5 linked regions of the Oryzias latipes genome follow. The protein of the gene in region 2 purifies or fractionates together with the protein of the main gene of each other region. This does not show direct contact. Links are inferred from orthologs where the notes say so. Each region holds a gene or a part of one and is shown on either strand. Other genes may lie near its edges.

Region 1 (6,508 bases), on a different chromosome or scaffold from region 2:
AGACAGTGTTGCCATTCATTTAAACACAGCTTTCACCGGATCAGTTTATTTAAGATGAACTATACTTTTGGGGGAAACATACGAACCATGACCCGGCACACAATGAATACGGATAAGAGTAACAAACTCAAACTTTATTTATATAGCGCCTTTCATTTTGGTTAAAAACACAAAGCGCTTCACATAAAAACAGATAAAACAGTCATAAAAAATGAAAGTTGTTAAAACGGAAAACAAAGGACAATCACACAAAGAAGGGACCCCTCCCTCACCACCCCCCGCCCCCACCCCCACCCACCCAGTTACCCCAGAAATTTAAGGCTCGGCTCTGCTGTGAGGAAACAGTATTTGGGAATCCCTTTATACCAGGAACCCACTCTGCCATAGGAACATCGCCACAGTGTCCACCCATACCGGGACAGCAAAGGAGTCCAATTCCCAGCCGTGAGGCTGCAAAGTTAAACTCCGGCTGCCCCAGCAAGGGCAGCTGGAGTTTAAGCACTTATTTCTGCTGTACAAAAAGTGTCTTGCATTAATAAATAATGTGCATCTTTGGATTCATTCATTCAGTTGTGTTATTTAAATTTATATAAAAAGGGGAAATTATTTATCAAGACATCATAAGTCTGTGATCCAAAATGGATCATCATGGAGATAGTGGGATGTTAGAGATGGGGGAAAAAGAAAGGGACGAAAATGGGGGTTATAGAAGTTGAAGGATGGCTAAAGAAGTATGAGGCAGTAGAATCACAAAGAAACAAGTTGCTGGAGGTTTATCGTCATTACTGTCAGGTGCAGATGCTATTCAAAAGGGCTCGGCCTGTCACCAGACACACTCAAATATTACAAACATACCTTCACACACATACATCTTAATACACTGTGGCTCAGATGTGACGTGATCCACGGCTCATGGCCTAGCCAGAGAACTCAGGGATCCCCCTTTTTGCCAGAAGAGAGGGCAGCAAGGCCTGGGACAGTGGGGTAGGGGACAGAAGGTCACTGATCCCACCTTGTGTAATGTGTGTGTGTTTGCTTGAGTGTATTAAGTGGTGGAGTAAAGGGATGTGTGTAATAAAAAGTGTAGTTAAAAGTAGTTGGCTGGTAGAGAAGGGCACAGTGAGGACTTATCCTATTTTGTGAGCAGGTTTGATGTTTTTCTAATTGTACCTTTTCCTGATTTTAATGTTTTTCTATTTCTTCATATCAAGGAGAAACCACAATAGAGTCCACACCCAGATCTTATGAAAGGACACCCTGAAGGTGCACTGAAGTTGTGTGGAGTCATGATTGTCCAATGTACATGTTATTATCTCTCTTTGATTTAAGAAGAACCAGGGGTGTTTGAATGCTAACATTCACTTATGATCTTTATAATCAACCATTTCTCTTTTGAAGGGCGGTTCTCTGCAAGGCCTACTTATTTAAGATAAGGCCATTCCGAGGACTGGTCTCCGATAAGAACTTGGCAAGTTACTCTCTAACTCTTGGTTGTATAATGGCAACAGAGAAGAGTAAACCAACCATTTTTCAACAAAAAACATTTTGTTAATGCATAAAAAAGACAAAACATGTATTGTGAACTGAAACAAACAGAGCCTCTTCTTACCTCTTCTACGAAACTCGAGATGTCGTATACCTTATCGTGGATTACCAGCCATGTGTCATTGATCATGTTGTGTACTCTTATCTCCTCTAATGTAAAGTATTTTAAGGCATTGTCGACGGTTTCACAATGGTCACTATTTGTGCTTTTGCCGCTCGACTTTAAGTTAGCCTCCTCGACCATTCTAGCGAGATACAAAAAAAACAAAACAAAAAGTCGTCTAGGTGTTGGCTAATGTTAGCCTATGTTAGCCAGGTATGGATTTAACGACTGCGACTTCAACGGTGTTCTAAAAAAGACGCAACTGAAGGGTAGCTACTTAATGTTTTCACGGGTACAGCGAATAAGAACGTAGAAAGGCAGAAGTAGACAGCGCCACCGTGCTGTTTATTACGAAATCATGAAACAAACCGGTACACTAGAAGGGACGTAGAACTGACCAATCATGTGTGTTCTAGTTTGCCAGCAGACCCGTGGTCATCAACCAATGAGTGGGCGAGATTTTGAGTGGTGGCCAATCAGATCAGCCACCTTGTGATCATGAGACCAAAGAAATGCGCAAAGGTTGTCAAGTGTGTGCTGTCATTGCGCATGAGAACATGACTTGCGTTTTTCGTGGCGTGAATAATGTTGTTAAAAAATCTGGGTAACATTTTATGGTTTGTAGTTTTTAATATATATTTTAAAAAAGGTCTCCTCCATCCATTCGAAAATTTGCAAAACACAAAGTAGGCAGCAATACATCCAGTTTCCATATTTTCCTGCAAGATAACCTTGGGCCAGATTTATTTTTTCTTTTGGGGCAAAATCATTTTTATTTTAACTTCATAGAGTAAGTTTCTTTGAAAAAAATACACTGACAAGTCACTACTTAAAGGATATAAAGTAAACTTTGGCTAAAAGACATACTTAGAGCAAGTGAACCAAAACTGTAGTAGTGTGGTGAAAGAAAACATAAGCCACAGATGCTGGTAAACAAGTGTAAACCTTAGTACGCCACACAAATAAATAACTCGTCCCCCTATATTTAAAAATAAGGGACAAAATGACCCTTTTAAGAATAACTTCTGTGTGCAGGAGACTTTTAGGGAACAAAAAAATATAAGTCCACGTCTGTGGTGTTTAATATATAGCTTTTTCTACTAGCTTTTTTCTATGTATCTGCCGTTGCTGATTATGTGAACAAACGGTAAGCCGAATATTCGTGTCCTGAAGACAAAAAAGAGATTTTAAGTTGTTTTAACAAATTTTTATTTTATTTTATTTTTTAGAATGTCCTGTGGGTGGCAGCATAGACACTGCAGGCATGTGTAGAAGAAGAACAGAGTGCATTGTGGGATTGAAATGGCTGTTTTGGCGTCTGTAAACATTTGCGTCGTATATACGAATTTACGTTCTACTTGTTGTCTCTGTCTTCAGAAGTGAACAACATTGTCGTCTGATCTTGAAGTTCGTATGAAGGTTTTTTTCATTTGGCTCCCAGAAATAGAAGTGGCGGTGTTCTATCTTCTGGTGCTCTATGCTAACAAGTAGCTTTTGGGAAAGCTAACGGTAGCTGTTCGGCCCGAGGTAGGTCCAATTCATTTACAATAAACTGCAGTGAATAACAGTAAAAATCAAATATTTATAATCGCTTTTTGAGCAGGTCAATGTGCGTAAATTCACCATACTCAGTAGACTATGTTCAAAATCAGGTTGATCAAGGTGATTTTTCCATCAACACTTTTAGTTTGAATTATTTTCATGCGAGGAGGAGGAGGAGGAGGAGGGGGGGGGGTGGCAAGGGTTTTTGTTTCCATTTTTATTCAGGCTAAAAAAAAAGGTTTGATTAACCGAATAAAGCCAAAGTAATCTATGAATCGCAAATTAATTGTAAACATTGAGAAATTGTATAATTGCAAAGCAATATACCATGGTAAATGCGCCTTTACAAGCACAGCAGGTTTGCCTATTCCTTTTTTTCTTCTTTTTTGCAAGTCAGTCATCTAACTGAAGACTATAATTGATTTTAATTTTATATTTTCCTAGTTAACAATTTACTCTGTCGGTCAACAGCTTTAGAACATCTAAAATCCACACGATTTTAAAGAATTCAGGGCGGTAATTTCCAAATAATAACATGAAATGGTTACAAGTTCTTGCCAGCTAATAATAATAAATATTCATATTTAGCCATAATAATTATGGCTAAACTAAGAAAGTACAGATTTCTGAAATACACAAAATGTCTACTACCATGAAATAGATTAACAGTTTAAAGCTAGATGTTCATCAAGACTTAAAAATAATTTGTACAGGTGTTCCTACTTTTTTTGATAACGTGCAACATTCTCAATCTTCATGAGAGCAGGGAGTAGTTAAACAGTGTTTTACATCTAAAAGTATTTTTTTGTTTTCAAAAGAAAAAGCAGAAAAAAAACGACAATGGAAGAGACACAGCCCATCAAAACACCAAAAAGTGTAGGTATTTTGTACAGACAAATAAAGAAAGTCAAGGCGTCAGTGAGTTTTATTGTATAAAAATATAATTGTATTCATAATCAAAACGTGCACAGAAAGTTGGGAAAACTCTTGAAAGGAAAAAGTCTGGAAGATCCAAAGTCGCCGCTGAATTGGTGAACTCATTTTGTGGGACTTAACAGGCAGGTTAAGGTTCAACAGCTTTTCTACATAAGGTATTGATCAATTAATAAAATGTTGAAATATTTGCTTTGTGTCACAGAATCTTTGTCAAAAAGGTGAAGCAAAGGCTCCACAGTCTGTGATACCAACTGTCAAACATAGAGGAGGATATGTGAGGGTATGGATCTGTTTTTCTGGGCCCAGGCTCAGTGGGTTGCACAGAGAGGAACCTAAAACCAACAGAAACTACGGCATTCTAAGCTCACTACTTTTATTTTGTTGTATACATTTAGTTGGTCAAGGGCTAATCCTTCAACAACATAATGACTCCAAATAAAAATCCAAGCATTGCCAGAACTACCTTAGAATAAATAACAAAATGGTAATCTTTGAAACATGGAGATCCCTGCACATCCTTCAAACTTGTGGATGGAAAAGGAAAAGCAAAGTGGCAAGCATTTATGTGAACCCCTGCAGGAGGCCTGGAGATGCGTTTTTAAAGAGTTTCTGTTGCAGAAAGAATGCCTGACTCTGTTTAGTGGCTATATCTATAAAAAGTGGCTACTTTAAATAATTAAAAGTTACATTTTAGCTTGTAAATTCGCTCCAGGATTTCCACTTTCTAATTTCTAATATTCTTAAGATTGCGAGGATAACAGACATAATAATAATAATAATAATAATACATTTTATTTCAAGCGCCTTTATAATACTGATTACTTTCCAATAAAAACTGGAAACATGGGAGTGTTCTAAAACTTTTCACTGGTTGTGGAACTACTTCGTTTTTTATTTTTTTATTTTTTACAAATTAGAAGTTTCAAGCAAATACTTGTTAAGTTTTGCATCTATTCATAGTAAACACATTATTTGTAGTTTCAGTGAACTTATAAATGTTAAGTGCTCTCATGACCAGCATATCAAAAGTGCTGTTGTTATTTGTTATGCTCAACTTGTCTGTGTTTGCTGTCAGAGGATGGAGGAGGAGGATGTTTCCATGCATAGGCTGGAAGGGACCAGTCCAGAAGCTCAGGTTGGCGGTCTGATTGTAAAGAAAAAGAGTACTGCTGCAGAACCTCATGTTTTTCGAGCACCTACACCACGTACATCTTTGCTGGGCTTGGATCTACTGGCTGCCCAAAAGAGAAAGGAGCGGGAGACCAAAGAACAGGAACAATTCAACTGCGATGAAAGAGACAGAAAGAAGTCAAAGATTTCTTCCTACAAGGACTGGGAAGAGGGTAAAAGTGACTCCGGCTCTGATGAAGAGGACGACGAAGAGAATAAAAGTGCCAAGAAAGAACGGTAATTTGAAAAAATTAGATCTTTATGAAATTAATGCCCAATGTTTGGCTCCCCAAATGATTTATACTAGGTTGTTTTTATTATGAAAATGAACAGTGTCTATACTATATTCTGGATGTTATAACATTTCTCTTCAATTTTAAGTATACATAATCATTTTACCCATGCAACATTTTTATTAAAAACAAAAATGCCTTGTGTATTGCATTCTTTTTTCACAAATTACAGCTTGCAGTCAATATTTCTCCATGTGAAGTGAATTTTTGTGTACCGTAGCCCATCTTTAACAGTGCCTCCTGGTATTGCATGTTTGCTTGTAGGAAGTATCGAGTGACGGGGTCTGAGACACCGTCCAACCCTGGAGGAGTCAGTGAAGAGTTCAGACGCAGACACCAGCAGAGGGAGAAGGACAGGCGAGAGCATGGGGTCTATGCTTCTTCCAAGGAGGACAAGAGGAGAGACAAAGACAGGAGCAGAGATGGTAGCAGGGAGCGACGGAGTGAAAGAGGTGATTCTACGGATCATTTGGTCTTCATCCATAAAGTTGTGCTGTAATAGATTCAAATATTTGACTGTAAATTTAGTGAAACATTAGTGGAAACCAAAAAAATCTTGACCCTGCACCCTGTCCCACTTTTTTACTTTTACATTTTTATTCGCTTGTGATACACAGAGCATACATTCTTTTCTACTGTAATGCCATCATCAAAGCACCACAAATTAAGTTTTTACAAATATTGTTTGGATCTGCTAAAGAGAGAAGGATCATTTAAGTGTGTTGACACAGCTTTGGTTTTGACCGTGTTGTAGATGAGAGGGAACACAGCCACGGACGTGGTAGCAGCGGCAGTCGTTCGGAACGTGGGGAACACAGCGAAAGGAGCGAGCGCTCGCAGAGAGATGTATGGTCGGAGCGCATCAGCCGAGGGAGTAAAAGAGATGAACCCTCCACACCGCTGCAACGCCCCAGAGGTT
Region 2 (6,672 bases):
TGTTTTTTGGATGGAAACAATATATTTTTTTTTTCCTCCCCGGAATTATGTGGGACAGCAAGTCGTCAAACATCTCCCCCCACAAGCGTCAGGAGCGGTGTCTTTTCTTCCTTTTACATCCCAAATCGTGACCAAGAATGACATTCCTCCCTTAGCATTTCTTTAGCTTCATATTCAGAGATGAGGTGATGGTTGATCGGTAACTCCACGTCCCTCTGCCGGCCGGCACAACTGGAGCGTCCACTCACCCGTTGTAGCCGTCCACAATCTTCAGGATCCTCTCCTTCATGTCTTCGAATGGAACAGACTCCACGTTGGGGTTGGCGGCGCCTCTCTGTTCGGGCGCCGACGCTCTGAAGTCGTCCATCACCGTCTCCAGCTTGAACAGGAAGTAGCTTTTGAACTGAGACCACTGGACCCTGGAGAGTTGGACACAGGAGATGAGGATGAACAGGAAACCGGTAAAGTACTCCTTTGTCGTAGTATTAATCCATGTTCCTCTTTCTTTGGTAAAAACAACCAGCTGCTCGGTTCTGAGTCTTAATCGCTCTTTCCTACTCTCAGCTCTGAACTTGTTTTTTGGGTATAAATGACTGAAAACACATTGATATGATCAACCTATAAAAATGTTTGATCCAATAGAAACTTCTAAAATATTCAAATAAACCAAATATTGACCTTTTGCAAATGAAAACCCTTCTATTATACAGATTTATCTCTAATACACTTTCATTTCATTCAATCATATAGGAGAAGCCACACTTTACGCCTTAGTCATAACTTCCCTTATGGGTGGATCCAGGCTGTCTGCAGGTTAAGAATTGACCAACCTGTGCGGGCCAAACAGGCGCTCCACAAACAATATCAAATTCGTAGAACGCTCGAAGAGCAAATAATGTTTTCTGGATGATCTTCATCCAGTGTGGGTCCTTGGGCAAGACCCTTCACACACTGTGCCGGTCCCCAGCCCGGAAATAAATAGAGTTGTGGCAGAAGAAATAACAATCTCTGCCACCTGTATGAATCAGTGAAAGCTGATTGGCTGTGGCCACCCCTGAAACGATATGCCGAAAGGGGAACAAACGAGTTTAATTCCCGTGGACGTCCTACAGGCACTTGCATATGACCTGCACTCCCACGTGTGCAGCAATTGCACGCCGTCAACAATGAGTCAGTATGCGCACCTTACTAAACAAATAGTGTAGCGTAAGGCCCCCGTACGACACCAGCACCTGTACATCAAACCTACATCCTTACAAATACTTTACAATACGCTTAACACACGCAAGACAATCATATGTTTTATTTTCACGATGTCCCTCAAGGTCGACAACCCTGGAAAAACCAAACCCAGTACGGCAGCATGTGACTAAGGCTTTACTAACAGAAATATCAGCAGAAGTGGTCATTTTTACCAACACCAACAACCTCCTGTATCCCTAAATATAGCATCAAGCTAACATATATTTGAACTAGAATGGCCTCAGTATGTTTACCATTCTGTAGCTCCACAGCATCTACGACATTTCTTCACCTATTATTGTAAATACACCGAAACTGAAATCTAAGCCCGAATGAAGGGATATTCTGAATAAAACAAAGACCTATAAATAAGCTGATTTTGTGGTCTTCCTCTTCCACTAGAAGTGATGAAGCTTCTTGGATGGGCTTTTGTTAGACGATAGAAAGAAAAAATAAAGAACCTTACACTCATACTAGCTGGGAAACGTAAATCAACCCAGTTTGTATGTTTCTTATTTGTTTAAAACGTTTTCCATCACCTCAAAAAAAACCTTTATTTTTTAACCTCTTTTCTCGAAGAGACAAGTTATCGCTAGACGACTGGTGATGCTACAGTTGATTACTTAGCCCCTCACACACACAGCTGTAATAAGCATAAGTATTCATTTTTGCCAACATCTGTAATACATTTATTTATTTCACTCATTATTCCATAATAATTCTCATAAAGAAAGCTCACTTTAACCAAACTTTAATAAAATTTTGTGGTCGTGGATTCACAAGTTTCAAGGTAAAGCTGCACCATTCTCTGTGTAACAGGTTTTTAACGTCACGTTTAAAATAACACGGCACACATTCGATGTCTGCAGAGGGCAACACATTCAACATTTGTTGAGTTCCATAAAAGCAGGAAATGGTATCGGGGCAGATGAACGTTTCCGACAACACTGACAATAATAGACACGGGTAAAACTGGAGAAAGTGGAAAGTTTCAAAGATGTATTCTTCTTATGACCGGAAACCCCCCCCGCAAACATCTCCAAAAACTCTCTGATGGGTCCAAATACAATATCAGCAGTGTTTTCTGTGGGATGTAACTGCAGACACCGAACCATAAACTGCTATCTGCATGGACTTCAGACTGAGAAGTAAACCAGAGTTCACCTCTATAGTATAGAAGCTGTCACGAATCTGAAAACCAGGTTGCAAACAAAAATGACTCAAAAATCAAGGAATTATCCGAGATAAGTTTGATCCCTTCATCCTGACTGACCCTTTTCCCCCGTTCTATTTGACCCTATTTCGTGCAGAACTTGCATTAGGAAAAGCATATAGGTAACTGTCATAGTAAGAATTTCCTGTGAAAGTGAACAATAGAGCATCAATGGAAAGTGAAAGGCTCAAAGTAAACCGAAGAGTTTCAAATACTGGAGCAGAAAAACCGAGAGAAAAAGGACACTTACATGGTCTGTCCAGTTTTGGCAACATGGCACAGGAACTCCTCCAGAACAGGGGATGGTTCCTTTTTAGATTTCTTGTCAAAATCTGTAGAAACATTTTAACAAATTGGCTGAACACGAACAGGTCTCGATTTAGCCTAGCTTAAAAAACGAACAGTTTAGCCAAACTGAGCAGCTGAGAATGTCGGATTAATTTGTGGTCGTCCAGTTTAACCTGGTTAACGCTCAATGCCCACTTTAACTCAACCCGAGGAATTAATATATATCGCTGAACCCTTCCTTTCGTTAAGTGTTGATCAGCAGTTCCTATTAGCTTATCGTAGCCCTGCGATGCTAACTTTAGCCTAACGGGGAAGCCGGTAGTTTTCCCCAAAGCGTTAGCCGGCTAATTCATCTGAAATCATGGTGCGTGGAAAACAAAAAGAAGAAAGCTAACTATAAGAACTAACTAGTTATTTCAAAAAAAAAAGAAAGGAATACATTAAAAAGAAAGCTAAGCGTTTCGAAGACAGCACTAGCTAATAAGTTAGCATCGGTTGACACTAGCTCTCGTAAACTAAAACCCACTTCATTATCGCTTTTTTTAGTGTAACCTAGAGCAGACATTTATCAGATATTTTTCGTCAGCTTGGTGTTAAATGAGGAGAAGAAAGTGACCTATGAGCGCCTCTTGAATCGAGTCAATTTCCATCACGTCGTCGCCTCTGTTAGTGCTGAGGGTGTCAACGGCAGGATGGCGGCTAGCCGATGCTAAGCTAGGCTAGGAGGCGGCGGGGGGGGGGGGGGTAATTAAAGATGGCGTCGTTAAGTCACAGCCCGAGTCTAACTCAACAAACAGAAGAGAACTGATACAACACAACTAAAAAAAGAGCATTCCCAGTAGACTTTTTTTTTTGCAGAGCAGCATATATGAAGTTAGATTTGTTGCACAAAACGGTTTGCACCTGTAATGAGACATTTGTGTGTGTTGAAAGATTTAGTATCTGTAGAAAACAGATTGTCTGTCTGTTTTAAAAATGTTTGTACCCGTCATTAGAAATGTGTGCGTCTGTAAAACTGTTTTATAACGGGAAAACAAACATGTCTGTCTATAAAGTTGCTTTGTCCGTGTGTGAAATGTCACACGCACAAATAAACATGTATTTATCTACAATGACAAAGTTACAAATACAGTATGTTTTGCTTCTCACTAAATCAACCAATCAGCAGCCATGAGCTGTCACCCAATCTGTGTGCTGCGTATATTGTAATTGATGTATTTCATTACAATATAGCAACTAAAAGAAAATAAGAGTTGGTCATTATTATTAAAAAATATGTCTGAGTTGTGGGTGGGACCATTGGCCCGGAGCAACCCCACCCCCCTGACCCTTCCCCTTTGCTGAGAGCTCTCTATTTACACTCTCTCCTGCTAGCTTACAGTCCCTCACATCCCTAGTGGCGTTGCAGCAAAAAATGGCGACCAATGTTGGAGCTAATTGAGCCAGATGCTAGCTCGGACGAGGAAAACGAACATTTAGATAGATGAATCAGAATGACGCGGAGCACAATTTTTTTTTTAAACTGCATTTTTTGTCTGCTCCTAATTCACAATTTGAACGAAGTAATACTCAGAAATGCAATCTCAAGCTTAACTTTCTTGATATTTTTCTTCCATCGTCAGAAAAAATGCCACGAGAACATGTTAAAAACAACAGAAACACAATTTTATCAGAGTGGGTCTTTCATATAAAAGAATGTGGTGTCTTTAAGACTCCGCCCACTTACCAGGACAAAAGCAAACAAGGTAATAGCAGGGGGAAAAAGACTCACAATGGGTTAGTTTTTTGCAAAAATTTTAATTCTGAAAACATATGTAGACTCCACAAACTTTTCCATGTAACACGTGGGTCACAACAGCACAGATTCATATTACAGGCTCACACACACCTACACAAATCCATTTATTTTGTATGGTAAACATGGCACACATGAACATTAATATGGCGTTTAAACTTCACTCCAATAAAACATTCTTGCACAATCTGTCCAACTCGGTCAGGCAAAGTCTCACGGTCTAAAAGAAAAAAATCTTTTTTAAAAAGTGCTTTTCAAACATTTAACATACAAACATTTAATACAGACAGTGGTGGTTCGTTCACATTTCATGGTGACGCTAAAATATTCACCATTCTTTAAACTGTCCAAGAGTTGCTCTCATACAATTGAACCTTTAAAATGTTCATTTTAGTCGCTTAGAAATGCTTGAGATGAGCATTTTTCTCAACATAAATAAAAAAGTGACTTCTTTGTTTGGTTTCTTTTTATTTACTTTTTTATTTCTGTAGAGTTCATGATCCTTCACAGGTTGCGTCTGCTTTAAATGCACAGCATGGGGGTGTGGGTGGGGCAACATGGTCTTCGGCTGTTAATTTCGAGGTCTGGCATGGCGCACCACCTTCCTCTCAAAAGCACTCCTCATGGTCTTCTCTATCTGCTTGAGGAAGACCTGGGGAATGCGACCGCACAGAGTGTTGACCGTGTCCAGGAACCTGCTCTGGACCGGGTAGAACAGCGATTGGAACATGTTGTCCTCGAAAGGGAACTGCGGAGACAAAGGCGTAACGTCAGATCCCCAGCCAGCTGCTGCAGGAAGACAATTTTGTAGGTTGTGTCCGAATTCCCTCACTACTTTATGCACTTTCTGTGGCGTTCGCCATTTTTTTTTCCGGGGGGTTCAAATCTACAATTCCAAAATCCAGTGCCCTGGACAAGTCCCTGAGGTCTCTGCTTAAAACTAATGAGCATCGATGCACAGTAGATCAGGAAATATAGACCACAATGCATTGCGGTTAAACAATTTTTTTCGGGAAAAAAAATTGTTTTTACCATACTTAAGGTAAAAAAAAAAAAATTATACTTAAAAAAATAAATCATCATCAATTTGCCTATTGATGGGCTTTGGCGTGTTGGCGAAAATGGCTAAATAATTTTAAAAATTTATGAGAACATTGGCTTTAGAGTCTTCATATTTACAATCGAATTTCTTAGGTTTTACTTTGGTAAATAAGTTCTGAACTATATTGTGTTTCAGGAGTTGGGGAGAAGGGAGGGAATTCAGAGACAGCCCTCAGTTTCAGGCATTAAACAATAAAATTCTGCCCCAGTTGTCCTTGGCAGGCTCATCTCTGTCAGAGTAAGGCAATATCCGAATTCCCACCCTACTCCCTAACTACTAAAACACAATATAGTGCAGGACTACGTAGTGCCCTGGATTTTATTAGCAATTCAGACACCATGCTCACTACTTTTTTTATGGCGAATATGACGTCATCGATTTCATGAAGTGAAAATCTAATTAATATGAGAGTTTTGCAATGATCGTTTATGAGTCCACGGAGTTCTGATGATGAAAACGATTTTAATAATAAATATAAAATAAAATGTTTTCACAAACATTGTTCAAACACAATGCACTCTGGTTTATATTCGCCAATCTAGTGAGCATCAGTGCACACTGGTTTTTCACAGAGACTTATGGGAAATTTCTAGGGCACAGGATTTTGGAATTGTAGATTCGGACAGCTCTACAAAATGAAGAAGGCAATGTATAGTGCACTATGTAATGAGTAGTGAAGGAATTCGGACAGGGCCTAAAAAGATTCCAGAAAGCAAAAAACAGACCCAGATTGTTTTGTTTTTTTAACATGAGCCCCACAGAATCCAATTATATTATTGTGCTATAAAACTGCTGCAGTTCAAACCCGAAGTTAGAGTAATATGCTCTACTGTGAACTGATCTTTCTGCTACTCAGCTTTGCTGATGACACACAGCTTTAAGGCCTGTTCACACCGGGACGAATTTCGCCGGCGATTTTCGCCGACGTTTAACGCCTCGTGACTAAACAAAGGGCACCAATGAGAGTGTGCACACCGACGCGAAAAAACGCCACGCGACAAAGCGTCAAAAAAAAAACCGCCTCGGGTTCGT
Region 3 (6,312 bases), on a different chromosome or scaffold from region 2:
AACCTTAAATGCAGTATTGATTTGATTATAATTTAATTCAGATTTTTACCTTAAGTAAAGACCAAATGGGTAAAAACTTTCCATTCAATTGACTATAAATACTTGTAGTACTTTTCATCAATCAAATAATTCTGCATGGTCTTAATCCTCTTCTGCAAGTTTCAAACTACACTTTGAACTTTAAATTCAAAACAAGCCCTTCACCACTTGAGTAGGTGTCTGCTTTTTACCTCCACTCGATGGCGTTCTCCAGCGATTTGAAAGTCTTTGGCCGACTTCTGAGGAAATTCTGCATACTGTTCAAAGCATCCATTGCCGTACCTGAATGGTTAAAAATATTGTTAATGGCCATTAAAAGTCTAGAGTCATCCAGCTTTTCCTTGGTGTTCTGCTACTGTTGTATTATTTAAAACAGTTATAAACCCTCCAAAAATGTTATGGAAACTTCAAAACAGAATCAAGTTTACCTTCCACAACATCAATGACACACAGACCCAGCAGTGATGGTACATAATTGGCCGTGGCTGTATGGACCGCGATGGCCCCGCCCATACTGTGTCCAATAATCAGGATTGGAGGTGGATTCTCGCCATAGAGCACCTCCACCACTTTACCGACATCCCTTACAACAAACAAATAAGAAAATAAAAGGTGTCTACCGTTTAAAAACACAGCAGAGCAAATAAATTCATTCCATCCATCTTCCTGGGCTTATCCGGGACCGGGTCGCGGGGGCAGCAGTCTAAAAAGAGATGCCCAGACCTCCCTCGCCCCAGCCAGAAATTCATTCATTTTACTAATTTGGCACGATTACATAAATGTACTAAAAATATAACGAGTTAAAGAAGAAGAAACGGGATTAACAAGTGGAGGTGACATCTGAAGAGTAGCGTCAAAAAAGATAAATGCTACAAAAAGGATTTTTTAAAATAAAGACGACATACACAAAAATTGTGTTGTTGTTTTGCTTTTGCATTTCTGTACTTAATTCCTTACACTTTATTTCATTTTGAAAATCTTTCATTTTCTTGACAGTGTCCAACAATATTACTCCAAATCAGCAGCAGTCTAGCAGGTGGCAACAATTGGTTCCCTTTTTCATTTACTAGTTTACAAGAAATACATAATTACAAGAAAAACAGATTAACTTGGTACATTACTAACTCTGAAAGAAAAATACAATTGCATAAAAAAACCCAAAACGTATCTTTTTTTTTTGGTAGTTTAATCACTCCATATATAGCCAGTTTATAGGATTTCATATATTTCTTGGACATAAGCCAGCAATAAACAAACAAACAAACAAACTATAAACCCACTTCAGACAAAAAGAGATAGTATTTACAAAACGGTATCTTACTTTGCCATGGTATCTGCCGACAAGTCTTCAGGATTTTTTACTTTGGTGTCACCTGCAGGTTTAAAGACGAGTTTCAGAATTTCTTGTTACGCTTACCAAACAAAAAAAAAAAAGCAAAGCATTGGTTCTAAATTTATATATAAACACATTTGTGTAGAGTAAAAAAAAAAAAAAAAGTTAAAATTCCTCACAATGTATTGCAGAGAATGAGAATGTTAGTCTTTCTGGAGAATATACTACAGGGTGGATAAAATTGTTAGTTAAAAATCACCTGAAAGGATTCCCAAGCTTTCTCATCTTACCGTGACAATCTCAGATTAGTTTTCTTTTTTTTTTTAAAGAGTAATGATTGGAAAACTTATTCCATCATTTTTGCAGAAAAATGTCAGTTCTACAGAAATTATTTTACATTTAAAAAATGGGAAAAAGTCATTTGTTCCAAAGCCTACAGAGTATTTTCCTTACCATGAGCTCGCAAGTCCATGGCAACCACCCTACAGGTAATCATGTTGGATATGACTGACTGTAGAGACATATACAGAGGTCATTTCAATCTGTATTCTGGGCAGTCTTGCAACACACATATTGTTATTATTACTCGTTATATTGGTGTACGATTACTGTTTAAGAATAGGGGATTATGCAGTGGTAATGATACCCACAGTAAACACTGCCCAAGAAAGTGCAGAATGGCCTCCTCCATGGAGCAGCAACAGCACAGGACCAAGTGAACCACTGCAGTAAATTCTGAAAATGTGTTGTGCGGTCAAGAAAACAAAACGCAAGGCTGTAAGCACTACATTAAAACGCTAAGCAAAACTAAAACCTAGACCAGGAGTCTGCAATGTGGCTCCGGAGCCTCATGTTGCACAAAAAAGATGCTGTTGCGTTGTTTAAAACCTTTTTAGGAGAACATTAGTTGCAATAGGATGACCCTGTTCGGCACAGGAAGTCTAATTTTGAAAGGAAGTCATACAAGCTTCTGTCAAAAGTAAGAAAGAAAAAGAAAAAATTTCACACTTTGAGAAAAAGCTACTCTCACTTTATATTTTTGCTCTATATTCAAGCCAAAAATAAAGTAGTATCAACTTTTCCTAAAGGGCAAAATAAGACTTTGTGATTCCAATGAGATTTTGATCAGCAAGAAACAGGCCCAAACGGCTCCTTTACTGCTTAAGGTTGCAGATCCCTGGCCTAGACGAAGAATTTGAAAAGCATTTGAATCTTAATTCCATGATATGCGTAAATCAAAACAACAAAAAATCGTCACGGCATTCTTGTGAAACAGAGATTTTGGGAAGGATATATCTTTGCCATTTTCATTTTCCACTTCAACATCCTCCATGGTTTCAAAGTACTGACTCCAAAGCAGTGGAGTAAAATCTTTCTTCCGGCCAGGTCTATAAAAAAATATAAATACAAATAAAAATGAGGGGGAAATCATTATGTACAATATACATACTATCTGTACCTCCAAACTGTGGTTTGACTCCATATTACCCATTAGTAAATTACTGTTTCTATTCTGCTGGCTGACACACAGCTGCCCCCTTTAGAGGCACGACTTATGCAGAAAACGAACCACTTTAACGAAGTTAATGAAAGAGTCATCTTCATAAGAATGTAATTACACTTTTGGATTAAATCAGTAAAACTGTATTGTAAACTAGATTTTGTTTATCCTTTGGTGGGCGTAACGGGGGTCTCCTGGATCAGAACATAACAAGTACGTATATATATTCTGATTTTTTTCTTAAAGAAAACGATAAGCTCTACACAGCATCAGCTAGACTTTGTTAACTCAAAGGAGTTATATGTATAAAAAAACCTCTGCAGCAGCTGCAGAAGGCGGGTCGTGCCTACTCTATAAGCGGTAACTAGGCTAGCCTAAATGCTAACTAAATATTGGTTTTCCTTCAGCTGTGTCTGGCTTTTCGGCGAGCTATTATTCAGACAAAAGTTCACAGTATGGCTTTGACAAGAGGTATGAAGAATAACACGCAAATGTAGATATAAAAAAACCCTTTAACGTTTTATGAACTGTTAGCTTCTCACCCCATCTTGATTTTAGAGCCAGACTGAAATCCACCAGGACCAGCCATTGGAGGTCTGGAGGCCAGCAGGTTTAAATGCAACTGTTTCTCCATGCTGTGAGGAAAGAGCGCTCTGTCAAGAGATGTCTAATATAGCCTTCCCTTTCTTTTGCTGCATAAGATAGTTTCTGACACTTGTACTGACGTTAACCAAACATTTGATGAATCGCTATAGCATACAGGCTAACGGCTTCTTTGTATTTTCCGTCTTTCTTCTTGTTCTGCGTAGTTTTGAGGTGGTTTTCTACTCATTTTTTGAAAGTGCTGCCACCTAGCGGTAAAAAAAGTACATTCATATCTCCAACGAATGAACAAGTAATCATCAAAGCTTTTTCTGTGCTTTATAAAATATTCATTTTTCTCAATGATTAAAATCGTGTCTTAAAAACAACAAGTTGTCGTCCATTAGACTGGTAATCGGCTGAAAAGTCTTTTCTCTTCTGCTCCCTCCCTTTTACACTGTAAGGCATGTTAATATTAAACGCTAGTCCCTCACTCATTACAGTGATGATGTGATGTGTCACAATTTGTTTATACGCATTTTCACAACATATTTAACAGTATTTTTTTTCTGAATCACAAAAATTGAACTTTTGTCTTTCCTTCTCTCACTCTTTACTGAGCTGATAATATTTAGGGATGTAACTATTAATCGATTTATACTCCTACAATCCAACCAGATCGATATGTTAAGGGAAGTTGTTAACTGAATCAAATAAAATCACCTGTAGCATCATAACATTGTTTCAAAATGAAATAATGCCATTTTAATCAACGTTGGAAAATGCAGAAATACAGTCCATCATTCCACTTTGAAATTAGGAAAGACATATGACCGTACAGTATGATAGAATGTTCTAATGAGGTTCTGTTTGTATTATTTTGATGTGGAGTAACAATAGTGGGCTGAACTTCAGGAAACTAAAATGTGAATGGATTTACCTTAAATTCTTGTTTACTTGTTTGTTTGTTCTTATATTTAATTTACACTTGATTATCTTGCAAGAAATACAAGGAATCTGGAAAACTTCACCTGCACTGTTTAGTATCCAGGTATTTATCACTCAGTCACACTGGTTAAGTTTTTTGTTAAAGATTCCCTGGATCCATTTTAGGCCATTGACTTAGATCAAATCGGACCGTTTAAAATTAACCAATATCGACTATGAATCACATCACCAACCACAAATTATTATTTGAATTGAATGATTGTAAAAATAAATTGTTCTTTTAACAAACCTTGTCTTGGACTGCATGTAAAGTAAATAAATGTGCAGAACGGCAGCTCTATCTGGAGAACATAAAGCTGCTTGGAACTCATTGAGCCATAAATCACCAAAAACTGCAAGATAGTTGAATTCTTTGTCTGTGTTTGCAATAAACACGTCAGTATGTTATTGTAGTGAAGTTATTACATTGATACCTTAGAATTTATAACATAGACCAAATTTTAAATGTGAAAAAAAGGTGTGGGGGTATACAGAAAGAAGTTTTCTTAGGAGATGTTACTTTTAAACTTTAGAAAGTGTCACGTGACATTACATAAAGGTGTTTGCCATTGACCCATATAAACTATTTTTTGATAACAAGCTTTCAGCTGTCCAATTAGAGAACGCTTTAATCATAAGTCATGCCAGATCAAATGCCAACCTGGTTAGCCAGCTCAGATAGGTTTGTGCAAACCAGGGCATCCTGACGAGAAGAGGACTACTGGGACCAGACTTTCATGGACTACTTTCAACAATATTTTACCAGTACTTTTGGACTGGCAGGAGAGAGGGGTCTCATACAATCAGGGATTTATGGATGCTTTTAAAGTGTAGTTACTGAAAAACAACCCCAGAATCCTTTAATTTGAATATGATGCTACATTTACAGGGTTCAACAATCCAATCCAAGACTGAAGCGAGTCAACAGCAAAACCCACAAACAGAATGGTTCTCAACCCCTAACAAGAATGCCTGATGACCCAGTCAGAACCATGGTAGACCTGAATTGAAAGATGAGGACTAAAACGGACATCAACTGTCTGCAGTCCCCTATCATGGCCTTAACAAGTTGCTGAAAATGTGAGGCTTTTTCATGCCAGCTTGCAGAAGTCTGGCTTATTTGCTTTTAAATCATTAAACAGTAGTAATAGTATGTTAAAATACATTAATTAAATCAATTAATTAAAGAAGAAAGTTGCATTTTTAAAAAGTTAAACACTTCAAGTTTTTTTTTAAATCAACATCTTTTTCTGAAAGATTTCTACAAATATAAATTAAAAGGTTTTTTTTAAGAGCTCCCTGGCCAGTAAACTTGAGTCACCTCTGGTATTGGAAGATGTTTGCTACGTTTCTCTAAAAAGCTGCTGTTTGCATGCATACAACAATCTAGATCAGATGAAAAAAGGAACAAAACAAAACTTGAGGAGAAAATTAACCAAACAGACATCACTGTGGAGCATCCTTGGAAGCCTCCCGTCAAACAGGATTCAGGAATCCCACAGTCCACTGGTGAATGGATGTGGAAAAGTAAGCAGGTGCTGTGCCATGGCACTCTGTCCCACTGACCTTTAAGTGACTGTTTGTAATGTTATGGTCCTTATTTATAGTCCGATGGAGATTATCAGTTTCACAGCACTGAATCACGGTTCATGGTATTCAACGTGCAAAGAGGACGCTGTGCTGACAGGAGTCGGCCTGCTCAGTTTCTTTTTCCATGTCTGCAGGGGTGGTCTCTGCAGACTGGCTGAAACCAGTACACGGAGCTGTTTACTAGTCCGACCGTGACGGCCAAAGTCGTACACAAAATGTTCTGGGGAAAGAGTTTTTGATTTCATGCTAAGATTGTTGATGATAGCAGCCCATGTTTGTG
Region 4 (6,332 bases), on a different chromosome or scaffold from region 2:
ATTTTTAGGCAAATTTGGTAGTTTCTAGTGTGGTTATAATTTATATTTCGAGACAGCACCTTGAGTGTGAGCAGGATAATATTGTCTAATAGCTAGCCAGTTACAGGTCAATCATTGAATCATATTTAGTAAATTTGTTGATATTTTTAACCCTGCATGGCTTGATTGTGTTAATACAAGTCATTGATATTAGTGTGCGCTGCATGTGTGAGTTCCTGGACCTTCTGCTTAAACTATTGCTTGAGAAATCAGGCTTGTAGTATGATTGAAAACAATACCTTTTCTCCGCCTCCAGTTTGTCCATTCGCTTCCACAGTCTGTTGACCAAAGCTTCTTGTTCTTGCTCCAACGTGTTCTCAAGGTCGATCTTTTCTCGCCTCAACTGTATCACACAAGTGTTATGTGAAGAGTCAGAAAATTCTTCATGCTGCAAAGCATTCACAACATTTCACGCAAACATCCTGTTCAAGTTCAAGGTCTTTGTCCAAGGCAAGCTTCAAAGACGAGCTGGGGTGGGGAGTCTCTAAAGTAAATCTTACATTTGGTTTCTCAGAGACAGAAACATATTTTTAAGCAAATATGCATGTTGATTTAATCTTGCTTTCAAGAGAAAATGCACAAAATAGTATGAAACATTTGCGATAGTGGCTGGAAAACACAGATCCATGTGATAAAGGAAGAGAAAGGAAGGTCGAATCCAGCGACAAATTACAACATCGTTTGGTAAGAATTTAGGAATGCATATTTTACTACACAACTAAGCTTACTAAAACATTTGCTAAAAGTTAGGTATACCTGTTCTAGGGTGAGCTGCTTTGAAATGGTTTCATTCTCCATTTTCTTGATCTTTTTCATGAGCTTGTTAACCTGGAACTCTTGCTCTTGCTCAAGGTGCTGCTCCAACTCTGCCTTCTCATGCTGGAGCTATGGAGGAAAAAGAAACAAGGGCAAAGAAATGAAAAGACGTGAGTGAAACAGACTAAACCAAGGACAGAAAAGACTAGCCAAGCAGACAGGGAGACATTTCATAGTTAGTCATGCTAAAACCATTTAAACCAGTTGTCAGATCACAGAATTTGGTTTTAATTTTCAAAATACTTTCAAAATGATGGAGAGAGAAAAAAAAAACATCCATTTGGACTAAAACATAGCAGTTTTTTGGAAGCTCAGTAAGGGTGTGGCAGAATGTAATTCAAAATAGGGCCTCTCTACAATGGATTATGCAAGTGATTAGTCATAATGCAGACGGCCATTTGAACTTGTGTAGGGAAAAGCTGCAGAGAAAATGTGGAAATGACAATTTTCATAATCCAACTAAGGGAAATGACAAAAAATATTTCAAATTTGTTTAATTGAACCCTTTATTTTGACAGAAACAAAACAAACGGTGGTCTTAGTCACAGCCTCAATGATAATTTAGATCAAATGACTCCCACCTCTCTATCCTTTCGTAACAAAACATGTACAGTTTCTCCTGCAGCTCCAGAAAAGGAACTGATAGATTTGTTGACTTCTAAAAAGACTCCAGCACACCATCTTTATTATAAGGTAGCATATTCAATTGGCTGAACAACAAATGTTTAACTACCACTTTTAAATATGTGACAAAGATTTTAAAGCTGTCTCTATTATTAGTTTAGTCAGAGAAATGTAAGCTCTATTAAATAAACTTTAAGAAACTCGCCGTTTTTAAGAGGCAACTAAAGGTAACAGTGTTGTATTTGAAATGTTTTACCACAATCAGTTGAACCCACTGATGATTCAGTAATAATACAGCATTTTCAACAGAGGAAAACCATTATTGTCACATCACATCACAATAACTGGCCAATAATTTGGGTTCATATCATTGAAAAGTTGTCAAGTGGCACCAAGTCAAACAAATAAAATCATTATAGAGGTTAGACAAGGAAGTAAGTCGTTTTGTTCCTACTGCCAAATTTTCCCACTCGTGTATTTAAACATGTGAAACGAGGTGAGAGACTAAGGTTGAAGAGGATTTCCTATTTGGCATTTTTATTTTACACAACTCTGTTTTTTCTCCATAAAAAAAACAGTAGTAAATTAATAAAGATCAAATAAATCGGTTCTTGAATCTATTAAGCCATTAAAATTCTCACAAACAAACTCACTTGCATGAGTTTCCTTGACAGCTCATTGGTGAGAAATTCTTCCTCCTTCTCATAGTTGACTGCTAAGGTCTCCTTCTCCTTTTGGAGGGCCTGGATCTTCTTGAACAAAGTGTTGCTGATAAACTCTTCCTCCTGTTCCGCTCTTGCTTGCTGTGGGGAGGAAAGATATATAGGATCAGGAATTAAAGAAAGGACCTGGCGGACATGGCAAAGCAAAGCGGTTTTTATCTTGATTAAAACGTAAAAACGATCCCAGGAGAAATTGACAGATATACACCACTCACTCAGTCTGCTGCAGTGAAGTCTGCAAGCCAAATAGGGAGCTTAATTTGACCAGATGACTCAATAGATATTGCAGTATAAGCTGACTTGCAGCGCAGGAAGGAGTGACACATTAGGGCTGCAATGTGTAGGGCTTGGGGGAGCAGCTAGCATTTCAGTGTGATGATACGTTTGCCCTTGCCAGTCTCATTATTCATCCCCAATTCCTCTCATTCAAGGTTAACAAGAACTGACAACTTGAGATGTTTTTGAGGAAAATCTATTAATAAACAAGAATTCAAAATAGTTGGTGACAATTCAGCTACAAGAAAGTGAACAGTTTGAAGGTTTAATTTCCTCACACTCACAAACTTAGTTATTTGGCAGTCTGTTGAGCTCGTTAAGTTTGGTCTACATACTCTTCATCCATCCAACAGATCTGTTACACATTTATATGAAGCTGTGGCTCAGTGGCCAAGCATGCAGACACATGACGACGCGACAATTCATGCACATTTTTTGTAGCTGATTTATTAATTTTCATTCAGACACCTTTAATCTTCTTGCTAATGTATCAACGACGTTATCAAAGAGAAACCCTCCCAATCCAAATGACAAAAAGTAAATATTTTAAATTGTGTACCGATGAGTCCACGTTTAGTTTGGCATCGTTTTGATACAGTTTTGCTAACGTTAGCCAAAATTAGCTAAAGGAAAAAAACAAAGCAGCTTTGCTGGCTAATTTAGCAACAATGTTACAGTTAAAAAACAGCTAAACAGAGAAAAACATAAATTCAATTGCATTCAAATTAGAATTATTATATTGTTGTGATTTATTGGCAAATTACACAAAAACGAGCATTCCTTACTTGCTGACAAATGAACTGTACTTATAGCGTGGGATAGCATATAGCAGTTAGCTTGCTAACGTTACTCACAATGGTGACGCTAGCTTTGCGAAGGTCTCGGTTCTCCTCCTGCAGGGCTTTGCACTTCAGTTTAAACGTCTCCAGCTCAATTTTAAGAACTTTGTTCTCCTGCTGTAACGATGCAAGACGATTTGTCAGCTCTTCCAGACGAAACTGTGAAATGACTATGCTCGGTTTTGCAGAACTGGAGGCAGAGGATGACATCGGAGTGGCTGAACTGCTCCCCGCACCGTCAGTGTCGCTCTCGCTCGCGCTGTCCGCCATGGCTGTGCGACAGTGTGTGAAGCAGGGGAGGATGGACGACAGCAGTTGCAGATACTATGGCAAGCCAAAAGGGCCAAAATTTACAAGGAAGTATACCATTTACTGAGGTCCCTGACTGTTTATGACTGAAAAATATAAACAAAGATAGTAAACCCATATTTAAATTTTATTTTATATATAACCTGAAATCTTATTCCTTCCAACATACCTCGTCAGAGGTCGCCACAGTGAATCAGCTTTCACTGAGTCGCACATTTGGTTTGGCCGTGCTTTTTGCGCCCCCTTGTGGCTGCAGTGTTGATCAGGAGCATGAAAGGCCTTGCTTCCAAACTGGATCGAGCTCATCCCACCCCCTGGGAAACAAACCCTTGTTTCCTATGCACCACGCATACACACAGCCCACTGAGCCATCCAGCTGCTGTTTAACTTAATATTATGACATTTTTTATACTATAACATTATTGTATAAGTCTGTAAATGACAAATATTTAATACAAATATTAACCATTTAATTGTTAGCTATTCATAATATTCATAGTTTTTAAATGATAATACCATCTTACTTGTTTACATTTACTTGTTTTCATTTTATTACATTTTCTTTTCATGGTTACAAACTGCTATGGTAACGCAGAAATTTCCCACATGTGGGATCAATAAAATAATTCTAATTCTGATTCTGATAATTCCAGGCCGTTATTAACACTCATTAGAAAATGTTTTTGCTGTAGTCCTATTTGTTGGGTGCAGTGGAGAAGCTTGAACATTGTAACCCTTGTGCTATCTTAGATGACCCCACCCTTAATTTGACGTGTTCACCAGTGAGGTTCACAAATCATTGAAGAAAAAAGGTTCAGTGGACTGTCTAGTCGGTCTAGATGACCCAACTTCCAACGTTAAAGTGCCTAGGATAGCACAAAGGTTACGTGGGGAGGGAGGAAGAAGGGAAAAGACTTTAGAAGAGTGGGAAATGGGAACAGCAGAGTGGAAGGCCATTACAAATGAAACAATCAAAAATACACGTCAAACAGTTTTAATATTGTTAATAATATTCAAACAGCAGTTCTTTTACCTGAGATACCATTTATAATGCTCAAAGAAGCATGTATTGATGGTTTCTTAATCTTTGTCAATACTGATGCTAATGTTGACTCAGAAATTATGTCAGACGTGGGAGGGAAAGTTTTTTACAGGGGAGGCAGCTGCCCCCCTTGCTCCCCTGTAGCTCCGCCTCTGGTTGCGTGACTAAAAACACTTTTCCTCCAGTCTACGTTTTCATAATTTTTCTTGTACAAATTTCTTATTTTACAAACCCCACAATACTAATCTATAGATGATGCAAGTAAACACGATATAGCAATGTATATCGTTCAATTTATAACCTAATTCATGTCTTAAAGGTTATGCTGTCATCTCATGCAGGCTGGATGACTGTTAAATAATATTGCAGCTCATTCAGAAGGCTTGTGCTTTAGTTTTAACCAGAAATACCCTCCTAATAAGGTTGTGTATTGCACCAAAACAGAAGGTAAGAGTTTCAATGAACTATGGAATACTATACCGTTAAACTGGTTCTCTGCTCATGGCTGAAAGTTATGTTTTGACAAAAAAAATTGAAATTTTTACTCAGAAATGAACTGTTGTTTAAAGTTCCTGTCATTTTTACCATTAATGGTTCTTTGACACAAAGAAAAAAAAAAATCAAAAACACACATACTGCAAAATCAATGCATTTTTATTAAGTTTTTGTTTTTTTTGAAAGACGTCCCAAACATTGGTGATGGCATCTTTGCTGCTATAGTCTCTAAAATTGAATAACCAAAGTGCTAGAATAGTTACATTTCAATGGCTTCACTCTGTTAGTAAGAATTGTACATCAAAAAGTCTGCTCAGGTGAAAACACATATCAAACAAAGTTGACAGTTTCATTGATCGTTCAACCATATTAAAGGATAATCTAACCCCTGATTGATGTAGTTGTGTAAGAGGGTGTAGTTTAGCACCCTATGTGGCTTCCTTAACACCCCCTTAAAAAAGTGATTAAGTTTCCATGCCCACAGCATTAGCATCAGCATATACTGAGGCATCAAATCAGTAGAACACCACACATGAACTACATGGCATCTAATGAAAATTAATACAAAGATAATCCCTAGAGTAAAGTAACTTTTTTTTTTCCAGTGAACTAGTGAAAACAGTTCTATTAGACACTGCATATACACTCTCAAGTCTAAAGAGATCACACAGTTTCAGAGTAAATCACAATTTATTCGATGCTTAAATTATCGTTTTTGACCATCCAGTGTTTTGTCATACATTATGCTATTTAGAGCTACAATCAAATAATAGCCTTGTGTCCTTAATGTGAATAGCTTTTAAATCAAGGAAATACTTCACCAAAAATTCAAAGTGAAATGCCCCAGTTTTCCTTTATCACCACTGCAGCCGTTGGAAAAAAAAAACAAATGACACACTGCTAAAATGATAACAGATAGTCTAATGGGGAACAGAGACTCCTACATCTTACAGCCAATACACACAGTACATTTATAATTTTACAGCGAACCAGCTGAATAGCATTTACATTCAGATCGCCTCTCCCTTGTAGAAGAAGCTGCCCTCCAGTTTTACACAGAAGACGAGACACCACAACCTTAAAGAAGCTTTTCACACCTTTTTCCCCCTCACCCACAGAATGAGAAATGCTCTAATATCCTGGTTTTAATTCAAATTATAAAACTGATGA
Region 5 (6,349 bases), on a different chromosome or scaffold from region 2:
AGCGTCTTGCCTCATGATACAGCCGAGTGTCGTTTATTCTTATCAACACTCCGTCCACGCGGAGGAAGAACCGCATCAACAGGAAAAAACTGGTGGGCATCACCCTCTGCATAAAAAAACAACAACACCAAAGACATAAACGATCAAGAAGATTCTTTAAAGACCAACTCCAATGAAAATTATTTTTTTTAGCACGTTGTTTCTCTCATGATGGAGGACACGTTTAAAGAACATTAAGAATAAATTTGTATTTCTGAGTATTTCTTTGTTAAAATTGTTGTGAATCGGGGGCAGATGAAAAAATGCAGCTTGAAAAAGAGCCAATTTGAGATGTAGAAAATGTGCTAGTCGGGTCACAAGCTTCCTGCTCCGCTCCATTCTGATGCAGCCACTTGCAGACAAATAGATCCATGAGCGTCTTTGTTTTCCTCGTCTGAGCTGGAATCTGCATTAAAACTGAACGTCTGGATGGCTCCCATACTGATCACCATTATCGCTGCATCTGTAATGTTAGGTTGAGGGTGGTAGGTAGCTGAAAGGCTAGTGGGACAGCATGTAAACAGAGAGCTCTCAGTTATGGGTGACGGGAAAGGGATGATCGAATGGGTCTTTAAATGCTAAATTGCAGCAAAAACGGTGCGGTGAATGGTGTAAAAATGAACCAATTTGGCTCAATTTAGCTGCAGTTATTAAAAAAAAACAAATTAGTACAAAGTTATGCACATATTTGCAGACAAAAGATGTTTTTTTCTTTTTAAAGAACTCCAGAAACATTAAGTATATCCTGCCTGCCTAACACTTAGACCACAACAACACTAATTATTTTTGTGTTTTTTTTTTTATTGTTATTAGCACACACAACCCATGACCTGACCAATTTAGACTTTTTTAAACATTTATGCACTAAAGATCCAACGATGTCCAAATTTACAATAAAGAATAGAAAAACTATTGAGATTACATTAAACAATGCACACATTTTTTGCTTTTAACTTTTTAAAGGTTTTTTTTTTTTTTTAAAGGAAAAAACTTTTTGCGTTGGAGATAAAGTTAAAAAAAGAAAATCTTTTCAGGTGCGGTGAAATAACTAATTTTATTTCTAAGACTTTAGAAGAAGGGGACAAGAAATACAAAATAAAACTTTAAAGTCAATTTCTCTAAAGTTAGCGTGAAAAGCTCGAAAAAGTCTGCATGATGATGAGGTTGTGGCAACTGATGTTCTGACGTCAAATAAGTACAAACACAAATAATCATTATTCATCGTATCAACCAGATTAAAGACAATAGTCATTAAAATGAACATTATCACTGATCGTAACTTTACTGCATCATAGTTAGAACGATTTCCTTCTGGATTAGTCGCTGCTTGTTTTGTACTTGATTGTAAATCAGATAGAAAGTTATAGCTTAGGTTCTTATCTGTTTTCTCTAAAACAAGCTCTTTTTACTGCCAGTCTCTAAAAAGCCTTTCAATAAATAAAAAGGGTTTAAAATGATTTTCCCTTTTTTATTTTCTGCTGTCATATTTATGAAAACTGTTGAAAATTACAACTTTGTGATTTTTATCTGTGTAAAGCAAAACTTACATGTCTAGATATTTTTAGCAAAATAAAGTTTTTTGTGGTTTCTCTTAATCTGCTCTTTGCATTCTTTAATCAGTAGGATGAAGAGGAAAATAATGTCAATATTTCTCACTATTTTCCAACAAGCTCTTGTTGTGGCAGAGCCTTGATTGGATCAGGAAATGGCGTTCACGACTCTGATCGTTCACCAAACTTCTAAGCGTTGACCAAATGGAGGTGGATGTGATAGTTCTGACGGCCGCGTGGGACAAAACTCACAATTTTGACGCTGATCTTTGAGACGCCGTGGTCGTGTAACTCGTCCTCAAACAGCAACACCTCGTCGAAGAACATGATGTTCTCGCGGGCTTTCAGCTTCTCCATGTCGATTCGTTCCGACGTCTCCGTCACCTTTGCGAAAAAAATATTAAAGCAAACTCACTAAAACCATCTTCTGTTAACCCTTGTGCTATCTTAGATGACCCCACCCTTCCATTGACGTGTTCTCCCTACCATGACAAAGGTGGATAAAGGTGGAAAGATTTCATGTAATCCATGGACACCAGTGAAGATCACAAATCATTGAAGAAAAAAGGTTCAGAGCACTGTCTAGTGGGTCCAGATGACCCAACTCCCAATGTTAAAGTGCCTAGGATAGCACAAGGGTCAAAGAAAAAATAAATACGAACCTTCATCTGCAATTCCTCCCCAAGTAAGGTTCCCCTGTAGTCTGTGGTGTATGTCCAATCATAAGGCCTTACCACCTCTTTGGAGTGCTCTGAATCCGCTCTGAAATGAGATTTACATTAAGAAGATTTATAAATATTTGATAATAATATCCCATTATCTGCAGCTGTGTATTTATTCAGTAAGACTTTATTATGTAGAAATGCCAGAACGGGTTTTTTACCTATACAACGTCAGCACTACATTAACTGAATGGTTTTTAAAATGAATAATTCATGCATGTTTGTGATTTTCCAAACCAAGTATTTTTCCACACTGCGTACAAAATGTGCACGCTGTTCTTTTTGAAAAGGCATTGTGGGTAAGAATTGGGTTTTCGGGGCTTGCCTGCTCTCCTGCCACTCTTGAGCACAGGCCACTTTCACAGCATCATCCATGTTGTTGACTCTTTTAAGGGCATCGATGGCATTGAATTCGATGCCGTAACCGTCTGCGTGTTGGATGCGCAGGACGTTGTCTCCAAACAGCATCTCTGGAAGACAGGGCATGCTGATCTCCTCCCCTAACCTGGGACAAAGAAGGTAACAAAAAAAAAAGAACAGTTGAAAAGCATCCCAAAAAGTCTTATGAGAGAGAAATAAAAATAATTTTTCAGAAAGCTGTTTTTAGGCTGAGCATCTCACCGTTCCACATCTTTGGATTTCATTATGTGGTTTTTGGCGGACGTCACTTTCCACGGTCCAAACATAAAGTCCTGCTTGCTGCTCCTGAAGCCGTGCGACATCATCTTGGACACAGACGCCAGCATTCAGCTACAGAAATAATTCTCATTTGAAAACGTTTTTTTAAATTCCACAAAGTTCTAATGGAATTTTTTACAATCAGTTTTTATATTTCTGCTGTGAGGGAAAATTTAAAATACTCATTGTAAAATTATCAGACAATCATGAAACTGAATTTCAGAACAAAGATCCATGTAAATAAATCCAATGATGTAACAATAAATTTAAAGTGATTTGATTATTACTTTTAAACAGTTGTGCACGAGTTCACCTGTTTTGTTAGAAATTTTCGAAATTAGCTATAATTAAGCAACAGAAAAAACAACAATGTGTATCTTTTCAAAGCCGTTACAATCCCCGCTTTTTTATCAGTCATTAAAATATCACACTTATATTTTGTTTCTAATTACTGGGTGGAAATGAATGAAACACACACTCCTCCTCTCCTGATTTAACTAACAAGCAGTTTTCTGTTAAATGTTCCTGATTAGGGCTGCATTCAGCGGAAGCCGCTGTTCTGGAGGTTTTCCGGCGACTATCCGATAGTTTAAAACGGTTATAAAGGTAAGCAATAAACTGAATGTATTAAAAGAAGTGAAAAATTAAGATTTACACAAATTGTTACCTCGATCTTGCTACTTTTCACAAATGCTGCTTGGGAGCGTCACTTTAATATGTCCGGCTGTGTTTTGGGTTCCGAACAAATGGTTCCACATGCCCTGTAACATTTTTCAACAATTTTAAATCTTTTTATTTTATTTTATTATAGCATAAATTTGAAGCTTTTTATTTCGTCATATAATATGTTATGATGGTACTGGTATGTGACTTTCGGCCGCCAATATGTTTTACGTAGCACCACTTCGTTCGGATGTATTTATTTTTATTTGAATACATTAAGCATTTTATCATTTAGTTAACAAACTAATGGTTTTTGCTTTCGATTTAAAGAACAGAAATGGCGGGTTTATGGAATTTTATGGACGCATTAGTAAAGATTTGATTGACAACTGATAATTACGTTTTAATCAACGGCAGACTTACGCACACAAGGTTAAAACAAGTTTTATCTTAAAATTTCAACTTTCTAAAAAAAAACAAAAAAACGGTTATATTTAAAAAGAACAAGAAAAGGAATGAAGAGAGGGCTGGCTTGACACCAGTTTATTGATGGTTATGCAAATCTTGTGTGTACCCGTCTGTGTGAATAAGTTAATATCAGCACGTGTGAGATAAGTCTTTGTCATTAATGTAGGAATATACCTAAAACCTGTAAATAGTTGAGTGCTATTTGTTGGCGTTGTTTGGCAAATGATTCCTGTGACATGTCGATTTCCCAGAATAAATATGCTCAATCAAAAACAGATTAAAAAAGACACCACACGTGTAGACAGATGTATTAGATGTCATTTAATAGGTGCTAGAGAAGTGATACTTGTGTCAGCAGACAGTGTGATGACAAAGTTGTGGGAAGGACTACGTTTGGCTGAGGGGTCCCACACTAGCAGGGATTCCAGTAAGGCAAGGCTGCATCAAATAATAGGGAAAAAAACGCGCACACTTGACACACATCCATTACACAAATTAGAGTAAGCACATGATATCAGAAGAAAGAGACTTGGAATATGTAGCAGAACATCGTCACAACAAAAGGTCTACATTCCTGTAAAGGGCAGATCCTCTTCTACATGTCTGTGTACAAACAGATGCATATTGAGTTGTGCTTTTTGTCGCTTTTCTTTATTATTTGTCGAAACTTTGAAAAAGGAACAGTAATAAATAAAAACGAAACTCAAGCATTCAATAGTTCTGATCATAGAGTTTTACAAACTGCCCTGAACAGATGTTAACTGTTACTGCAAAGAGGAAAAAGCAAACAAAAAATATATATAAAAAAAAAAAAAACGATGAATCAAACCAAGGGAATGCTATTGGCCCACCACTCAGAGGGTAACAGTCTCTCAGCTATCAGTCTCATCATGGATGCTCACATGGTACAGTTAGTCCTCCTGACCCATCCCACGCACACACGCAAACACACACACTGTGTGCCACTGAGTTCAGAGCGCAGCAGCAATCCTCCGACGAGAGCTGCTGGGAGCAGACAACGCTCAGAAGGAGCAGCGTACCATCACAGCACACCTACAGTACAATCATGACTGAGTTAGAAAAATACAGGTACAAAATGATTACATTCAAGAAGACAGTACTAGCACAAAAGGGTATTATAGTCATTTTGGTAACTAATATAGGAATCTAAACAGTATATAAGCATCTCCCGGATAGAAAAGTGGAAGGGTGATAAGCATAATGCATCTATGGCTGTTCTTGGTTTTGTTGATGACTGGATTCTTGGACACATGGATTTAGTTCATATATATTTAGATAAATATATATATAAATAAAGTCCGTGATCGTTTTGGTTTGGGTCATAAGGTGCTAATATATAAAGAGGTGCCCTTTTGCTGCCAGAAAGCACGATCCCACTGGAAACTCAGGATGAATTGTGCTGATTTTATTACCTGAAGACTCAGAAAACCTGACAAATCCAGCACAACACTTTTGTTAGCTGTCTTTAATGCTCCTTTGAATATATATATATATATATATATATATATATACACATATATACGCTCACTGGGCACCATATTAGCGAACACGTGTGGCTTTAAAGCTGACATTTCATCAGGCAATCACATGGCAGCGGATCTGCTTTAAAGGGAGCCGACAAAGTTCCGAACTGAGCGTTGGAGCAGACCTGAAATGATGTCATCATTTAAATGGTTGAGAAACTTGTGATCTACCTTCTTGAGTTTTAAAAACGTAAACATAATTAGCGAAGGTTTGGGTGCTGGGCAAGAAAAAAAAAAAAAACCTTGTCACAAGAAATTTAAAAAAAAGCAACCACTTAAAATCAGTCAGATCTGACTAATCAAAACCCTTCCATGTGATTGGCTGATTTCTGTTAACCAACAGCTGATTAAAGTGTCCCTAATGAAGTGCTCAGCGAGTGCACCTTTCCTTTTTCTTTGGAAAATGTCAAGGAATTCGGTTGCTTTAAGCAGACATTTGTGTTTCGGGGTTGGGAAGACAATTTCTTTACTCCTCAGTCGAAGGACTACATGGATGACAGCGTCTGTAATGCAACTTCCTCTCATCTGAAAGCACGCGCACATACATGAGTTATTTTCAATTACATGATCACAAAATGGACTGTGGGTTTGCTTAACGGGGAAACATGCAGCTTGTTAAGATTTTAAGCTCAAGTGTAACAAGGATTTGTAGGTTTCTTGGGTGTATAGCACTATTAGCTCACAA

The links.
Region 1: the proteins of ppp4r2 (region 2) and dhx38 purify together in Homo sapiens (affinity purification with mass spectrometry; 3 studies listed by BioGRID and IntAct, counting the BioPlex papers as one, with this or other methods). This does not show direct contact. The link is inferred for Oryzias latipes from reciprocal best matches to the Homo sapiens genes PPP4R2 and DHX38.
Region 3: the proteins of ppp4r2 (region 2) and ppme1 purify together in Homo sapiens (affinity purification with mass spectrometry; 3 studies listed by BioGRID and IntAct, counting the BioPlex papers as one, with this or other methods). This does not show direct contact. The link is inferred for Oryzias latipes from reciprocal best matches to the Homo sapiens genes PPP4R2 and PPME1.
Region 4: the proteins of ppp4r2 (region 2) and ccdc6 purify together in Homo sapiens (co-immunoprecipitation; 3 studies listed by BioGRID and IntAct, counting the BioPlex papers as one, with this or other methods). This does not show direct contact. The link is inferred for Oryzias latipes from reciprocal best matches to the Homo sapiens genes PPP4R2 and CCDC6.
Region 5: the proteins of ppp4r2 (region 2) and tiprl purify together in Homo sapiens (affinity purification with mass spectrometry; 5 studies listed by BioGRID and IntAct, counting the BioPlex papers as one, with this or other methods). This does not show direct contact. The link is inferred for Oryzias latipes from reciprocal best matches to the Homo sapiens genes PPP4R2 and TIPRL.

The regions. Positions count from the first base shown.
Region 1 is NC_019861.2:20,524,409-20,530,916, forward strand, and holds the start of dhx38 (pre-mRNA-splicing factor ATP-dependent RNA helicase PRP16), read left to right. Parts: upstream 1-2,923; 5' UTR 2,924-3,175; intron 3,176-5,201; 5' UTR 5,202-5,204; coding exon 5,205-5,533; intron 5,534-5,853; coding exon 5,854-6,041; intron 6,042-6,343; coding exon 6,344-6,505; intron 6,506-6,508. Other genes in the region: cytochrome b5, read right to left, coding at 1,610-1,789. UniProt on the Homo sapiens protein: Probable ATP-binding RNA helicase. Involved in pre-mRNA splicing as component of the spliceosome.
Region 2 is NC_019863.2:21,902,808-21,909,479, forward strand, and holds the start of ppp4r2 (serine/threonine-protein phosphatase 4 regulatory subunit 2), read right to left. Parts: upstream 3,491-6,672; 5' UTR 3,394-3,490; coding exon 3,360-3,393; intron 2,788-3,359; coding exon 2,706-2,787; intron 420-2,705; coding exon 249-419; intron 1-248. Other genes in the region: gxylt2 (glucoside xylosyltransferase 2), read right to left, coding at 5,110-5,286. UniProt on the Homo sapiens protein: Regulatory subunit of serine/threonine-protein phosphatase 4 (PP4). May regulate the activity of PPP4C at centrosomal microtubule organizing centers.
Region 3 is NC_019872.2:16,423,996-16,430,307, reverse strand, and holds the start of ppme1 (protein phosphatase methylesterase 1), read right to left. Parts: upstream 3,691-6,312; 5' UTR 3,508-3,690; coding exon 3,416-3,507; intron 2,761-3,415; coding exon 2,667-2,760; intron 2,116-2,666; coding exon 2,023-2,115; intron 1,884-2,022; coding exon 1,826-1,883; intron 1,413-1,825; coding exon 1,361-1,412; intron 623-1,360; coding exon 468-622; intron 322-467; coding exon 231-321; intron 1-230. UniProt on the Homo sapiens protein: Demethylates proteins that have been reversibly carboxymethylated. Demethylates PPP2CB (in vitro) and PPP2CA. Binding to PPP2CA displaces the manganese ion and inactivates the enzyme.
Region 4 is NC_019873.2:18,423,487-18,429,818, forward strand, and holds the start of ccdc6 (coiled-coil domain-containing protein 6), read right to left. Parts: upstream 3,623-6,332; 5' UTR 3,587-3,622; coding exon 3,332-3,586; intron 2,283-3,331; coding exon 2,133-2,282; intron 925-2,132; coding exon 796-924; intron 383-795; coding exon 279-382; intron 1-278.
Region 5 is NC_019872.2:12,961,045-12,967,393, reverse strand, and holds the start of tiprl (TIP41-like protein), read right to left. Parts: upstream 3,750-6,349; 5' UTR 3,657-3,749; intron 3,062-3,656; 5' UTR 3,058-3,061; coding exon 2,933-3,057; intron 2,817-2,932; coding exon 2,637-2,816; intron 2,352-2,636; coding exon 2,252-2,351; intron 1,974-2,251; coding exon 1,842-1,973; intron 107-1,841; coding exon 11-106; intron 1-10. UniProt on the Homo sapiens protein: May be a allosteric regulator of serine/threonine-protein phosphatase 2A (PP2A). Isoform 1 inhibits catalytic activity of the PP2A(D) core complex in vitro. The PP2A(C):TIPRL complex does not show phosphatase activity.